3 linked regions of the Arabidopsis thaliana genome follow. The protein of the gene in region 2 interacts with the protein of the main gene of each other region in a pairwise test. Each region holds a gene or a part of one and is shown on either strand. Other genes may lie near its edges.

What was found. Proteins that work in one complex are often made in the same cells at the same time.
Region 1: the proteins of CERK1 (region 2) and VSP2 interact in a two-hybrid assay, tested with the Arabidopsis thaliana proteins (one study listed by BioGRID).
Region 3: the proteins of CERK1 (region 2) and PAE2 interact in a two-hybrid assay, tested with the Arabidopsis thaliana proteins (one study listed by BioGRID).

What each region holds. Positions count from the first base shown.
Region 1 is NC_003076.8:8,499,964-8,503,981, reverse strand, and holds VSP2 (vegetative storage protein 2), read left to right. Parts: upstream 1-1,757; 5' UTR 1,758-2,137; coding exon 2,138-2,547; intron 2,548-2,788; coding exon 2,789-3,001; coding exon of another isoform or gene 3,002-3,005; exon of another isoform or gene 3,006-3,094; coding exon 3,095-3,269; 3' UTR 3,270-3,514; downstream 3,515-4,018. UniProt on the Arabidopsis thaliana protein: May function as somatic storage protein during early seedling development.
Region 2 is NC_003074.8:7,614,851-7,620,587, reverse strand, and holds CERK1 (chitin elicitor receptor kinase 1), read left to right. Parts: upstream 1-1,916; 5' UTR 1,917-2,057; coding exon 2,058-2,697; intron 2,698-2,793; coding exon 2,794-2,827; intron 2,828-2,915; coding exon 2,916-2,923; intron 2,924-3,020; coding exon 3,021-3,176; intron 3,177-3,265; coding exon 3,266-3,459; intron 3,460-3,537; coding exon 3,538-3,627; intron 3,628-3,720; coding exon 3,721-3,814; intron 3,815-3,891; coding exon 3,892-4,043; intron 4,044-4,141; coding exon 4,142-4,230; intron 4,231-4,312; coding exon 4,313-4,448; intron 4,449-4,544; coding exon 4,545-4,643; intron 4,644-4,883; coding exon 4,884-5,045; 3' UTR 5,046-5,231; downstream 5,232-5,737. Other genes in the region: TWD1 (FKBP-type peptidyl-prolyl cis-trans isomerase family protein), read left to right, coding at 100-189, 430-614, 726-848, 989-1,141, 1,231-1,563.
Region 3 is NC_003074.8:4,762,168-4,767,113, reverse strand, and holds PAE2 (20S proteasome alpha subunit E2), read right to left. Parts: upstream 3,091-4,946; 5' UTR 2,891-3,090; intron 2,788-2,890; 5' UTR 2,751-2,787; coding exon 2,737-2,750; intron 2,605-2,736; coding exon 2,523-2,604; intron 2,331-2,522; coding exon 2,250-2,330; intron 1,958-2,249; coding exon 1,844-1,957; intron 1,750-1,843; coding exon 1,648-1,749; intron 1,337-1,647; coding exon 1,278-1,336; intron 1,182-1,277; coding exon 1,079-1,181; intron 985-1,078; coding exon 919-984; intron 826-918; coding exon 733-825; 3' UTR 505-732; downstream 1-504. Other genes in the region: ATPMEPCRC (pectinesterase family protein), read left to right, coding at 1-209; AT3G14280 (LL-diaminopimelate aminotransferase), read left to right, coding at 4,828-4,946. UniProt on the Arabidopsis thaliana protein: The proteasome is a multicatalytic proteinase complex which is characterized by its ability to cleave peptides with Arg, Phe, Tyr, Leu, and Glu adjacent to the leaving group at neutral or slightly basic pH.

The DNA.
Region 1 (4,018 bases), on a different chromosome or scaffold from region 2:
AATTTCTGCACCTCGTAGTATGTTCCCGGTGCAAGATTATCTTCGGGTGATAAATCTTTCACAAAATCAGTAATCGCATCCACACAATCCTCGGACAAATTATAATCCGTTTTGATACCCATCAACTTAGTTGCAGCAGATAAAGGCGAATGACCCTTTTTACATCCTTTATATAAGGGATATTTTGCTGCATCTAACATATCAAAAAACTTCCGTGCTTCTAAATTAGGTTCCTCTACTCTATCACTATCCCCATCAAACGAGTGTACATTTTCACGAAAAGCATCATTTACCATCTGAACGGTACCTACATTTGCATCTACTTCCGGATTTGGTTCCACTAACCTATCAACAGGATAATATTCGCTACAACTACCATAATTCACCATTGACTCATTCTCTCCATGCATGAACCAAACTTTGTACCCCGACATAAACCCTTCCCCATATAAGTGCATCCAAACTTGAGATACATGAAGAACTCCAAAATTCCGACATGTACAACACATTTTTTTTGATTCGATGGTTACCGGTTGATTTGTCGCGAATGCCATGAATTGTTTAAGACCTTCTGCATATTCCGGCATTAGTAACTCCGTTAGCGGATCACGCATGGGCTGGTCCATCCATGATCGAAAATAATTAAACGGATTTGAAGAAGCCATTTCTCTCTGGTTATATTTTGTTGCTGCTTGGACGATTTTGTGAATGATGGTAGAAAAATATAAAGATGAGAATTATCAATGTTTTCGACGGGTTTTCGACGGACGTCCGACGGGTTTTGGCGACGAATTTCCGACGGAAATTTTGAATATTTATTTTTTAAAATAAAAAAATGCACGGCTATGTGACCGTGCGGCGAATTGACCGAGTAGCTACTTGACCGAGTGTATTTCGTTGGAATTCCGTCGGAAAAGTGCAGAATATTCTGATGAATATTCTAGGGATCAAAACGGATATATTTTGGTCGGAAATCCGTCGAAACATTTGGTCGGATTTAATTTGGTCGGATTTAATTTGGTCGGAGTTTCGTTGGAAATGACTGATGAATTGTCGATCATTTAGAATTCGTCAGAAAAGTTCGACGACATTTTGACGGAAAACATGTCGTCAGAAAACCGTCGGAATACCATTACGAAACCGTCGAAAATTTTCGACCGTTTATTTATCGTCGAAAAGTCTGTCGAAAAGGGTTTTGTTCTCTTGTAGTGTACCACAACTTGGTTTGCAACACTATATATACTTTTTGATATATAAAAATTCTATTAAACTACTTAAATATTTCGTCATGAGGTTATATGCATTAGAAAAAAATATATAACAATATTGTTGGAAGACTGGACAATTATCGTTGAAACTATAGCTATCACCAAGATACAACTTTTTGTGGAAAATCTTGGTGGCAATTAGAAACTGTTCCCAATCTCGGGCATGAAAATCGTTATTCAAATATTTGTCAACAACTAGTGAATAGTGATACAGCTATATATGTTTGCTAATTTATTGAATTATTTAATGTTACGACTTTACGTAACAATTATTTAACGTCTATTCTTGTGTACCTCACATTTCTTATCGTCATGTCTCATCTCTTATATTATTCACAGTACACCCATCTCTTCTCGCTCACTGTGGAACCTGTTGTCAATTACTCGTTTTGCATTTTATTGGTTTTCCCAATTACTCTATCAATTATTTATCAAAAAAAAAAAAATGAAACATTTACTCTATATATTATTTCCGCAAACACAAATTATACTCACATCAACATATTCAATACATTTTTCTAGTAATGTAGAACAACTTTACAGTATTCTCCAAAACGAAACTCTAATTCAAAATTTACAAGCAGATAAGCCAAAGATAATAGAACAACAAAACGCCAAATTCTAGTTAAGCACACAATCTCAACGTGCACTAAAAACGAGTGGTGTAAGTGAAAAATATCGTCGATTATAAACATTATGGGACCAGTAGCATTTGTTGCACCAATCGAAAACAGACAAGCACACATATCTCCTCATTTCTCATCTGGCTTCTTAATCATTTCTCATAACCCCACCTCATTATAAATACCACCCTTTGCGTCACACATATAAACATCACAAACTAAACAATAAACCATACCATAAAAAACATGAAAATCCTCTCACTTTCACTTCTCTTGCTCTTGGCCGCTACGGTCTCGGCATCCGTTCCAGGGCTCATCGAACTCGTCGATTCGAAAACCATCTTTGGGAACGTAGCCGAACTCTTAGAGAAAGAGAAACTTTCCATCAACTACGCCAACTGCAGAAGCTGGCACCTTGGTGTTGAGACCTCTAACATCATAGACTTCGACACGGTGCCCGCAAATTGCAAAGACTATGTTGAAGACTACTTGATCACTTCCAAACAGTACCAATACGACTCCAAAACCGTGTGCAAAGAGGCTTATTTCTATGCCAAAGGACTTGCCCTAAAGAACGACACCGTCAATGTTTGGATCTTTGACCTAGATGATACCCTCCTCTCTAGTATTCCCTACTACGCAAAATATGGATACGGGTATATATACGCATAATTATCATTATTAGTTCTACCCACACCACCTCCATTGCATTAACAATATTATCTTCATATTTTTTTTTTAATGGTTTAGATATCACTATATGCACGTTTCGGTTTTATTTTATATATATTATTTGCAACTCTAAATAGTTTCAGTACTGACCTAAATGTTTTTTTTCATATATATCTTACTTTGTGATTTCATTTTGAACTACTTTTTTTTTTTTTGGATTCTTAGAACAGAGAAGACCGACCCGGGGGCGTACTGGTTGTGGTTAGGGACCGGAGCATCAACCCCTGGACTCCCGGAGGCCTTGCATCTTTACCAAAACATCATAGAGCTCGGGATTGAACCCATCATACTCAGTGACCGTTGGAAGTTGTGGAAGAATGTCACTCTCGACAATCTCGAAGCTGCTGGCGTGACCTACTGGAAGCATCTCATATTGAAGTAAGAATATTCAAGTAGTTAGTTATATAGTAATTAAATAAATTATAAGTATCATATATGTGATTGAATCAAGGACTAAATATGGAAATGTAGGCCTAATGGTTCGAACTTGAGGCAAGTGGTGTACAAGTCAAAGGTGAGGAAGAGTCTCGTGAAGAAAGGATACAACATCGTTGGCAATATCGGAGATCAATGGGCTGATTTGGTTGAGGATACCCCTGGGAGGGTTTTTAAGCTCCCAAATCCACTCTACTACGTACCTTCTTAAGAATCTATCTTCATCGCATTGTCCCCTTGTATACACTTCATATCTATGTCGTTTCGTTTATCTTTGTAGCCGTTTTGGCACCGCTGCATAAATAAAATGTCTATCCTATCGTAACTTAATAAGTACAAAGACTTCGTACTAAATGTTGTTTTTCTTTAAAGGGGTCATTAATTAAGTGGCCATGAAATGATATTCACCATGTAAATCTAATACAATGAAAAGTATAAATTTGAACTGGAAACTAACTTAGCTAAATAAATTTATAAAATTAAAAATAAAATTTAATTGGGAAATTTGGAATAAAAATATTTCTATAATTTATATTATGAAAAGTAAAATATTAACCATGTCGCAATTTAGTAAATCGAAGGTTGGTATGTGTTGTGACACAATCTCGTAAATTAAAGGTTGGTATGTGTCACCATTTTGTGAGTCACGTTTAATTGTTTACTACTTGGTTATCAGCACACGAGAAGTATATAATCCGATAGAAAACGTAAACATGGTATATAAAATAATGTGAGTCAGATAATTAAAATGAAATAATTTTATAATAAGAAATAAAGATGTAATCAAGAAAATAGATGTAAATTATTGCCAAATTAACAGTGAATATCTTTTTCTGACTGTGGTTTTTGTTTAATTTTATGAATACATAATGTTTTCTCCATAACATGTTATTTTTCCGTAACATCTTGTTTTTCTGTAAATGTTTAATTTTATTAGATGACATCATACCAAAAATAAAT
Region 2 (5,737 bases):
TTTCTGTTGATTGGATGTTGATTTTTCGATTGCACTTGTTGGCCTATTGCTACTGTTTATTTGAATCTTTCTATCTGACCAATTTCATATTGGCCATAGTGCACTACAGGGCATGGACCAAAAACTCGCAGCACAAATTTGAGGATACATGGCATGAGCAGCAACCTATTGAATTGGTTCTTGGAAAAGGTATGTGGCTGTCGAATATGTACTCTACACCTCCATTTCGTTAGATGAATCGTCATTGGTAAATTTGATGAGTTAGCTTGTGTATTATATGAACCCAATGAGATGGATATTTGGGAGGAAAAAAGATTGAGTTTTGTATTTTTTTTGCTTCAATGCTGATTAGCCCATTTTAACGTCACTATACAATTTTTTTTATAAAAAAGATTGTGCACTAAGAGTGAAATGTTGTCTGTGAGACAGAGAAAAAAGAACTAGCCGGTTTAGCCATCGGTGTTGCTAGCATGAAGTCTGGTGAACGTGCGCTTGTGCATGTTGGCTGGGAATTAGCTTATGGGAAAGAAGGAAACTTTTCTTTTCCGAATGTTCCACCTATGGCAGACTTGTTATATGAGGTGGAAGTTATTGGGTTTGATGAAACAAAGGAGGTAAGTTATTTCCTATACCATCATCTTGTTTCCTTACCAAGACGACTCCACATCCAAGCTTTATCCCAACCTCCTTGCTTACCTCTCTGACTTAGATGATGTATTGAACAGGGAAAAGCTCGCAGTGATATGACTGTAGAGGAAAGGATTGGTGCAGCAGACAGAAGAAAAATGGATGGGAATTCTCTTTTTAAGGAGGAGAAACTGGAGGAAGCCATGCAACAGTATGAAATGGTTATGCATCTCTCTCTATCTCTATCTCTCTTTCCAACAATTACGGTCAAAGTTTAGGTTTTCAGGCATACTTAGTGAGTCTGCTCGAGGCTCTTGTGTCTTCTTTCGGCTTTTGATTAGTCATGGTTTTGCTGTTTCAGGCCATAGCATACATGGGGGACGATTTTATGTTTCAGCTGTATGGGAAGTACCAGGATATGGCTTTAGCAGTTAAAAACCCATGCCATCTTAACATAGCAGCTTGCCTCATCAAACTAAAACGATACGATGAAGCAATTGGTCACTGCAACATTGTAAGACTCATCAAACCATTCATTTGAAGAAAATCATTAAAGTTCATACTCGGTTTCTCGAAATCTAATCAAACTCAAAACCTTATCAGGTGTTGACAGAAGAAGAGAAAAACCCAAAAGCACTGTTCAGAAGAGGGAAAGCAAAGGCAGAGCTAGGACAGATGGACTCAGCACGTGATGATTTCCGAAAGGCACAAAAGTATGCTCCTGACGACAAGGCGATTAGAAGAGAGCTACGAGCACTTGCAGAGCAAGAGAAAGCCTTGTACCAAAAGCAGAAAGAAATGTACAAAGGAATATTCAAAGGGAAAGATGAAGGTGGTGCTAAGTCAAAGAGCCTTTTTTGGTTGATAGTGTTATGGCAATGGTTTGTTTCCCTTTTCTCCCGTATCTTTCGACGCCACAGAGTTAAAGCAGATTAATGTATGAAGAAGGGTAACAATTCAACTCTAAAAGACCAACGTGAAAGATCTACCCCCATTTCTTATTAGTGAGAATTTTGAAAAATATTTTATATAAGAAAAAAAAATAGTCTCTATTGTTTTCGATTATAAAGTAACTTTATATTTTGATCCAAAAAAATAAATTTTTAACAAAAAACATACAAAATTCGAACGTAAAATCTACTTCCTTCAACAGAAATGGCGGTCTTCATAGTTTTTGTCTTTGACCAAAGACTTTCAAATTCCAGCTGCTAGTTGCATTAAATGATCTTAGTATTATTAATTAATTAAGAAACTTCTCAACAATTAACAAACACTAATCAGTAATCATCATTCTCTTTAGTTGAAAAAAATAGTCAACGTTTGATTAAGTCAACCTTTTTCGTCTTTGAATCCATCTTCTTCCCCACAGAGCAACGACGAAACAAAAAAAACAGAGACCCTTCCTCTGGGGAATCTAAGGAAGCTTCAAAATGAAGCTAAAGATTTCTCTAATCGCTCCGATTCTTCTTCTCTTCTCATTCTTCTTCGCCGTGGAATCTAAGTGCAGGACTAGCTGTCCTTTAGCTCTAGCTTCGTACTATCTCGAGAACGGAACAACACTCTCCGTCATCAACCAAAACCTCAATTCTTCAATCGCGCCTTACGATCAAATCAATTTCGATCCAATCCTCAGGTACAACAGTAACATTAAAGACAAAGATAGAATCCAGATGGGCTCTAGGGTTCTTGTACCTTTCCCTTGCGAATGTCAACCTGGTGATTTCCTAGGGCACAATTTCAGCTACAGTGTTCGACAGGAAGATACTTACGAAAGAGTCGCGATTAGTAATTACGCGAATCTCACGACGATGGAGTCGTTACAGGCGAGGAATCCTTTTCCGGCGACTAACATACCTCTCTCTGCGACGCTTAATGTATTGGTGAATTGTTCTTGTGGTGATGAGAGTGTTTCGAAAGATTTTGGTTTGTTTGTTACGTATCCGCTTCGTCCTGAAGACAGTCTCAGTTCTATTGCGAGATCTTCCGGTGTATCGGCGGATATTCTGCAGAGATATAATCCCGGTGTTAATTTTAACTCCGGGAATGGAATCGTTTATGTGCCTGGAAGAGGTACAAAGATTGATCTTTGATGATTTGTGACACAAATTGTTATAAATGTAGTAATGATTGTTGAAGTTTATGTACATGTTCCTGTGTTTTTTGCAGATCCAAATGGTGCATTTCCACCATTCAAATCAAGGTTGTTTTTGTTGTTGTTAAGATTGTATCTTTGTTCATTTTGATATCTATTTACTGATGTATTTCTACTTCTCTTATGTTTTTTGTAGTAAACAAGGTTGGTTCTTTTCTCCATTTTTGAGCTTTTGATGATTATGCACGAAGCAAGAGGAGACATGGAAGAGTATGTTTTTGATATTTTTTTGTATTAGCAGATGGTGTTGGTGCTGGAGTTATTGCTGGTATAGTTATAGGAGTGATTGTGGCTTTGTTGTTGATCTTGTTTATCGTATATTATGCTTACCGGAAGAATAAGTCGAAGGGTGATTCGTTTTCTTCTTCTATTCCGTTGTCTACTAAGGCTGATCATGGTAATTTCGTGATGATCATATACAAGCAGTTTTTGTCTCTTTTGTTAGCTGGGAGTTGCTTATTATGTTTATATGAAATCTGCTTTTAGCTTCTTCTACTAGTCTCCAAAGTGGAGGTTTGGGTGGTGCCGGAGTGTCTCCTGGCATTGCTGCCATAAGCGTGGACAAATCTGTTGAGTTTTCGTTGGAGGAACTAGCAAAGGCTACTGATAATTTCAATTTGTCTTTTAAGATTGGGCAAGGTGGTTTTGGGGCTGTTTACTATGCAGAGCTGAGAGGAGAAGTAAGCAGATATCTTTTTATATCTTTTTGTTTGAAGCTACTACACATGGAACATTTAAATTATTCGGTTCTTGTATAGAAAGCTGCGATTAAGAAGATGGACATGGAGGCATCGAAACAGTTCTTGGCGGAACTAAAAGTCTTAACGCGTGTACATCATGTCAACCTGGTAAACCCCTTTTGTGTTCTCTCAAGATAATATCTGAGATCAGATGAAGATCAAGTCTTAGCCAAATTTTAACGAATTTGTTTTTTCTTGCAGGTTCGCCTGATTGGATATTGTGTTGAGGGATCACTTTTCTTGGTGTATGAATATGTTGAGAATGGTAACCTTGGACAACATTTACATGGGTCAGGTACGCAATATAAAGACCTCCAAAAGTGAATCATTTTTCGAGAAAGTTGTAAACTAAAAGAGTTTATGTGAAACTAGGACGAGAACCATTACCGTGGACTAAGAGAGTGCAGATTGCACTAGACTCAGCTAGAGGTTTAGAATATATCCACGAGCACACGGTTCCAGTTTATGTCCATAGGGACATTAAATCTGCCAATATTTTGATAGACCAGAAATTCCGAGCAAAGGTACATTCTCGATTTCTCTTTTGTCAATCAAAAGTGAAAAATACTGAAAAGGTTAGATTTTTCCTTTGTCACCGCTCTGAGTCGTTTACGTGTTACAGGTAGCAGATTTCGGGTTAACAAAACTGACAGAAGTTGGAGGTTCAGCAACTCGGGGTGCAATGGGTACATTTGGTTACATGGCACCAGAGTAAAGAATTTGATCTCGTTTACACTTATATACTACTTTAGAGACTACACTATAGTGATGGTGTATATATGTATGTATGCAGGACTGTTTATGGAGAAGTGTCTGCAAAAGTAGATGTATATGCATTTGGAGTTGTCCTTTACGAATTGATTTCTGCGAAAGGTGCGGTTGTCAAAATGACAGAAGCCGTTGGTGAATTTAGAGGCCTTGTTGGTGTGGTTAGTATTATTGTTTCTTCGTAACATTTAGTCTTTCTGATTTAAAGGCATGTATGTGGATCACTTAACAATATGCTTTGTTTATTTATTATTCAGTTCGAAGAATCATTCAAGGAAACCGACAAAGAAGAAGCACTACGCAAGATTATAGACCCGAGGCTCGGTGATAGTTACCCGTTTGATTCGGTATACAAGGTAATATCTCTTCTTGTTCCCTATTCTATTCATCATTGATCATTCTAAAAGAGGGTGTCCAATCCGTTTTTTGGTCCGAAAAACCGATTAAAAGTGCGATTTTTAAAAACCGGTATTCACTGAACAATGTGCTATTCGATTAGCTTAAAGTGTCGAAAAATCAAACCGAATACCGGATTGCACATAGCTAATTTTAATAACGGGGTAAGCCAATTTGGTGTTTTATGTGTTGTGGTATAGATGGCGGAATTAGGGAAAGCATGTACACAAGAGAATGCGCAGCTACGTCCGAGTATGAGATACATTGTGGTTGCTTTATCCACTCTCTTTTCGTCTACCGGAAATTGGGATGTTGGAAACTTCCAAAACGAAGATTTAGTCAGTCTTATGTCCGGCCGGTAGACTCGTTTTCCGGTTTGCTGTTGTTATATAGAAATGATTGTTTTTTGGTATGCTCACGTATATTTTGTCTGTCTATACGAACTTTACATGTCACAACTCACAAGTTGACTTTTATATGATTTTCTATAACGCTCTATATGTCAATTATTCAACGTCTCCGATATCAGCATCTCACGTCAAAGATAATAATGAAATGCATTAAAATTCTCATAAATAAATTTTTTGAAATCGAGTTTGCCGACAAAAAAATCAAAACATAAAAATATAACTTTTTGTGATGGATACTCTCACGAAGCTTAGAACAAGTCTTCCATAACACCAAAGAAATTCGAATGATTTTGTCACATGGATTCCCCAATACATAAAATCTATATTCCAGCTTAGAACACTAAGTATGTTTCTTATTTCACCTAGCTAGATTTTCTTTATTAGAAATAGAGTAATCGAATATTCTTTTACCATAAACCAATATATTTCATTTTTTGTTTTTTTCTTCTGTCAACAACATACAGATACGGCTACATATATCTATGATTTTTTTTCGTTTGTCCATTATTTGTAACGGAATAATTATTTAAAACACACAAAAAGTTACCTTAAACTGACTAATATTAAATCAAAACTTTTTCATTCCAAAAGTCAGATCTCAAACCTTTTTTTTTAACATAATGTGTCCTCTAAACTTTCAAATC
Region 3 (4,946 bases), 2.9 Mb from region 2:
ATTCGACTTATGACCCGCCTCCACGTACTATATTCTATAGAGAGTACAAGAATTCAGGTCCTGGGTCGGATCTATCCAAGAGAGTTAAATGGGCTGGGTATAAGCCCATTTCGTCTGATGATGAGGCTGCAAGGTTTACGGTTAAGTATTTTCTCCGAGGGGATGATAATTGGATTCCAAAGGCGGTTATGGGAATGCCCCCTCTGTAAACTTAATCACTTATTATTTGTTTTCTTAAGTTTTCAATTATTATTATTTTTTCTATAGATTTAGCTAAAGATATGTTTAAAAAATACAATATATTCTTTTGTAACCTCAAAGAAATATATTTTATTTTTTTAAAGATTTAGCTAAAGATAGGTTTTCACGATCAGCGCTTCTCTTAATGGGGTTTGGGTTAAATTCAGTGAGGGTGGTTATATAGATAATAAATATATAATTATCTTATAATTGAGATTTTTTTTCCGACGTACAATGATGATATGTACATAATAGATTTCAACTTTCAAGTTCTGATTTTTTCTTTTGGACAGATATTTATTAGTTTTAACTTCTTGTTGAAAACGACAAAAAAATGTAGATAGAAAGCTCAATAAAACTCAACTCGATAAAATCCATTATCTGATTAAACGAAACTAATTTTTGGTTTAGAGAACCGGAAGCAGACAGAAGCCTGATAAATTACCGAACAGACAAGGTAAGATAACAGGAAGAGAATGGCGGTTTATTTCTTCATAGACGACTGATGACGGCTTCAACCTCCTGAGGAGTGTAGAGGTGATAAGCTGGTGCGACTTTGGCAATGTCGACATTGTTTGGAGTCACCTAAACCAGAAAAGTAGAGAGTATCAAAAAGGGCTAAACCGGAGAGGGATTTAATGGGATTTTTAATAAACAAACTTGTAATCAATTGAATACCTTTTCTTCCATTACTTGCTTTAGGATAGATACAGCTATTGTTTCAGCTTCTTGAAGAGTTATATCCTGTAAGAGTTGTGAAATTGGAGTTCAAGGAAACTTCAAAAGAAATAGATTCTGTAATGCGCTTGGGACAGTGAAACAATCACGTTATTAGTACCTTGTTGAATTGCTCTTGGAGAGAACTATCAGCTCCTTCTGAGCCAGACCCAATTGCCTTTGCATTGCATTGCCAGAATGTTCCCGATGGATCTGTGTAGTACCTATACAGGATTGAGTTGTTTAACATTTGTTGTTTACCAATTTGAGATCATCTACACAGTTGGAAAATGATATAAGCGAAATGAATAACAACTTACAGGCTCGGTCCATTTTCATCATGCCCAGCAATGAGAAGGGATACTCCAAATGGACGAGACTGCAAAAAGTTTGTGAGACCGAGCATAAGTACATTCATATAAAAAGGAGACAGTAAAGAACCAAAGAATATTTGCTAAAACATTATGGAAGATTAGGGATTGTTATAGTGGTGGTTCCTAAAGAGTTATATCTATTAATTCACAACAAAAATTTAAAACCCCAATCTAAGGGTTTATCTCTGATAATTGATCATAATTTCCAAGCAGAAAGAAGAGAAATCCACTAAACATTGCCTATGCTATAAAGGTAATAGAGCGATTACTACCATTGACTCTTCCTATGCTATAAAGGTAATAGAGCGATTACTACCATTGACTCTTCCTCTCCTTCACCAAACCGTAAAGCAAGATCACACAAAGCTTGTGTTGTAGATTCTACAGTCATTGGCTCACCATACGAGAACCTGTGGTTCTGCTCAACATAATAAAACCAGTTGGTAACAGAAAGAACTTTTGATGTAAAAACAAATCCATGAGAAACAGAAAGTCAGAAACTGAGATCTCACCTGGGTCTCTACTCGTGCATGCTCAACAAGTGTTCGCGCGTCAGCAATCAGACCACTCATAGCACAACCTATATGGTCATCAATTTCCATAATCTTCTCAACACTACTCGGCTCCTACTTAAAAGATAAAAAAGAGACTGAGAAAGTAGTTACCATCATAGGGTAAACTCAAAAAGGTATTACAAATTCATACTAATATTACCTTTCAGATTCTATCACTCATGCCAATTCAAGACTAAATTTGTAGCATAATGTGCGTGTACCAAAATCATAAAGGCACGGAAATAGTAAAGCAAAGAAAACTTCTTAGATACTAACAAATCAACCAGATGGAAACTGCTAAACATAACAAATGTTAATAAAACAGTGGAGTCACACGGAGAAGATACAAGGAGAGAAACTATACCAGTAAAGGCGAAGTAATACGCTTCTCGACTGCAAGAACAACTCCCTCTTTCGTCTTTACACCAATAGCAGTAGAACCAAGCTGCAATCAAACCATAACAAACCCATCAATGGATACAAAAAGGGCATGCCCAATCTATTGTCTACTCCCCAACAAAGCACACTAACACAATAATGGATTAAGTAACCAAATTCGTTTAAGCAAACAAAGAAACATCCCAACTTTACTAGATTCTAGAGAAGCTATTAGCAGCTAGAGTAATCTATAAATTACCTTGATAGCTTCAATGGCATACTCAACCTGAAAGAGACGACCTTCAGGAGAAAATGTATTGACTCCTCTGTCATACTCAGTCCTTAAGAACAAAAAAAAAAAAAAAAAAAAACTTGATCAATACAAGCACCATAATCGTTGGATTCGAAGTTTTCCCAGAAACGGTGATACACGATTCTGAAGAAATCGAAGGAAGAAATGCTCAATTTTGTACCTAGTGAGAAACATCTTCTTCTCGATTTCGATCTGAGATAAACCTCAATGTCTGCACAAAAGTTATTAAACCCTAAAAACATTACAGATCGAATGAAAAAAATAGGAAACGATTCAAGTAACTAAGAACTTGTATGGATGCAAAAAAACTTTACCAGCTGAGAATTGATCTACGAATCGAAGAAACAAACTCTTCCCAGTTCCTTTTTAGCTCCCGTAGACAAGCACTCTTGAGTAACAAGTTAGACTTTGATTAACACTTGGGCTGTTAATGGGCCTAAATATCTTATCAAACGGGCCTTAACTTAAGTCTAATATGAGAAGCATACGCCATTAAACGGACCTTCAATTAGGCTACTGTATACTTCTTGACCAAATCTTTTAGCCTAAACCCATTACTTTAACTCGTAGACGTATGTTTCTAGTATTTGTTAATTATAAAATAAGTGATGATGAAGATAATGTTAAATAATTTCTGTATCAAATTTTATAATCAAACTTGCTTATATTAAATTTGGAGATCGTACGATATTGATAAGTTAGGCCACCACTCCGCGATGATATAAGTGGACGACGATCTAGAAAATTAATAAAAACTTTGGTGACGTATTTAACCTCCCAACCTCCTGAAACAGAGACCACAAAATATTTGATTATAGTTTTTCATTCAATGTACTACAATTTATATACTATCGACTCGGGTGATCGATCTAAACATTCTCTATCGAAATTATAATTTAAATTTGGTTTAACCGACAGAAAAAAATGGATTTTGGAAGTCTTTTTAAAAATTGTTAAAAGCGATTTTGGAAGTTTTGCTCCAACATTTTGTGACCAACCCTTCTAATCTATGGTTCCACCATTTATATGTATTTTTGGTTAAAAATGTTCATAAACTATTATAAGGATTCCAAAGTTGCTGATGACTCAGAAACTTGTATAAATCTGTTGTATTATTCTTTTAACAAAACAAAATAAAGATTCGCAAGAGTTTAATTAATTTGGTGGAGGAATATTCGTTGTTATTATAGTATTGTTTTGCATTTCTTTAGTAATCAAACCAGCGAAATAAATATCATTGCTCGGAGCCTCTGACTCGAACGTACCTTATTGTGGTTAAGAAGAGACAGCTTTTTTCCCGAGAAACTGTACGACGATGTCTCCATGTTTAGCCTACAATTAGTCTCTTGTCTAAATCATAGCAATAATATAACACCAATTATTGTCATTTTGCAATTAAAAATGCTCCTAAAAGCTTATCATGACGCTTGATATATCGACACGTGCCACGGTTTAATTAAGTAGGAGTTAATTCGTCATTGGACGGCAGATAAGCACTGTAACAACTAATTTGCTCGATGTTTAGTTTTTCTTTTACTCTAATATTAATATTATCTCAACATAACGAAAAAATTGGTTGAATGCAAGTGCAACTAATAGCACGCAAGTTTTTGAAATTAATGTAATGACAGATTAATTGTTTCGATGGAAGGTCAAATGTCTTTTTTACCTTTTTAGGTCAGAAGGAAGGTAAAATGTCTTAAGTCTATAAACTATTTCAGTTGGGGAATTATTTGTTTTTGTCTCATATTATTTTGTCAAAGAATCGGGTTATAAAACTCATTTTGTTTCTCAAATATAAGTGTTACAGAATCTAAGTAGTTTTCTTAGTAATATTTTTTAAACATTAACGGAGTAAGAAATCCCAATAATAGTTTTATAAAAATTTATGTAATAAAAATACACCTGACTAGACATACACATGTATATGTGTAGATATATTCAACGATTTCACATTGACGTTCATCAAAAATCAAACGTAAGAAGAAAAACGAAACCATTAGAAGAACTAACCAAACCCCACGAAAAAGACAACCAAACTTGTTAATGAGATTGCCACTCTTATTGGCTATTATTTTATCTTCACCTTGCGTCTATATATAATTGACTTAAAAAAAAATCTTAATTAAACTCAGATTCAATCAATCATCGGAATTTATAATTTTCTTCTCTGAGAACTATAAACCAAACGAGTTGTCCAAAAAGAAGAGATCAAAGTTTCTTCTTGAAGAAAGAAAGAAACACAAAAGCTATGGCATATTCAACTAAACTTTATCTTCCTCTTAAAACACCATGTTTTGTTCCAAAGACAGTAAGAGCAAAGACTTTGATGCTTCAACAGAGTCAAGTTCATGTTAAAGTCAAGAAAGC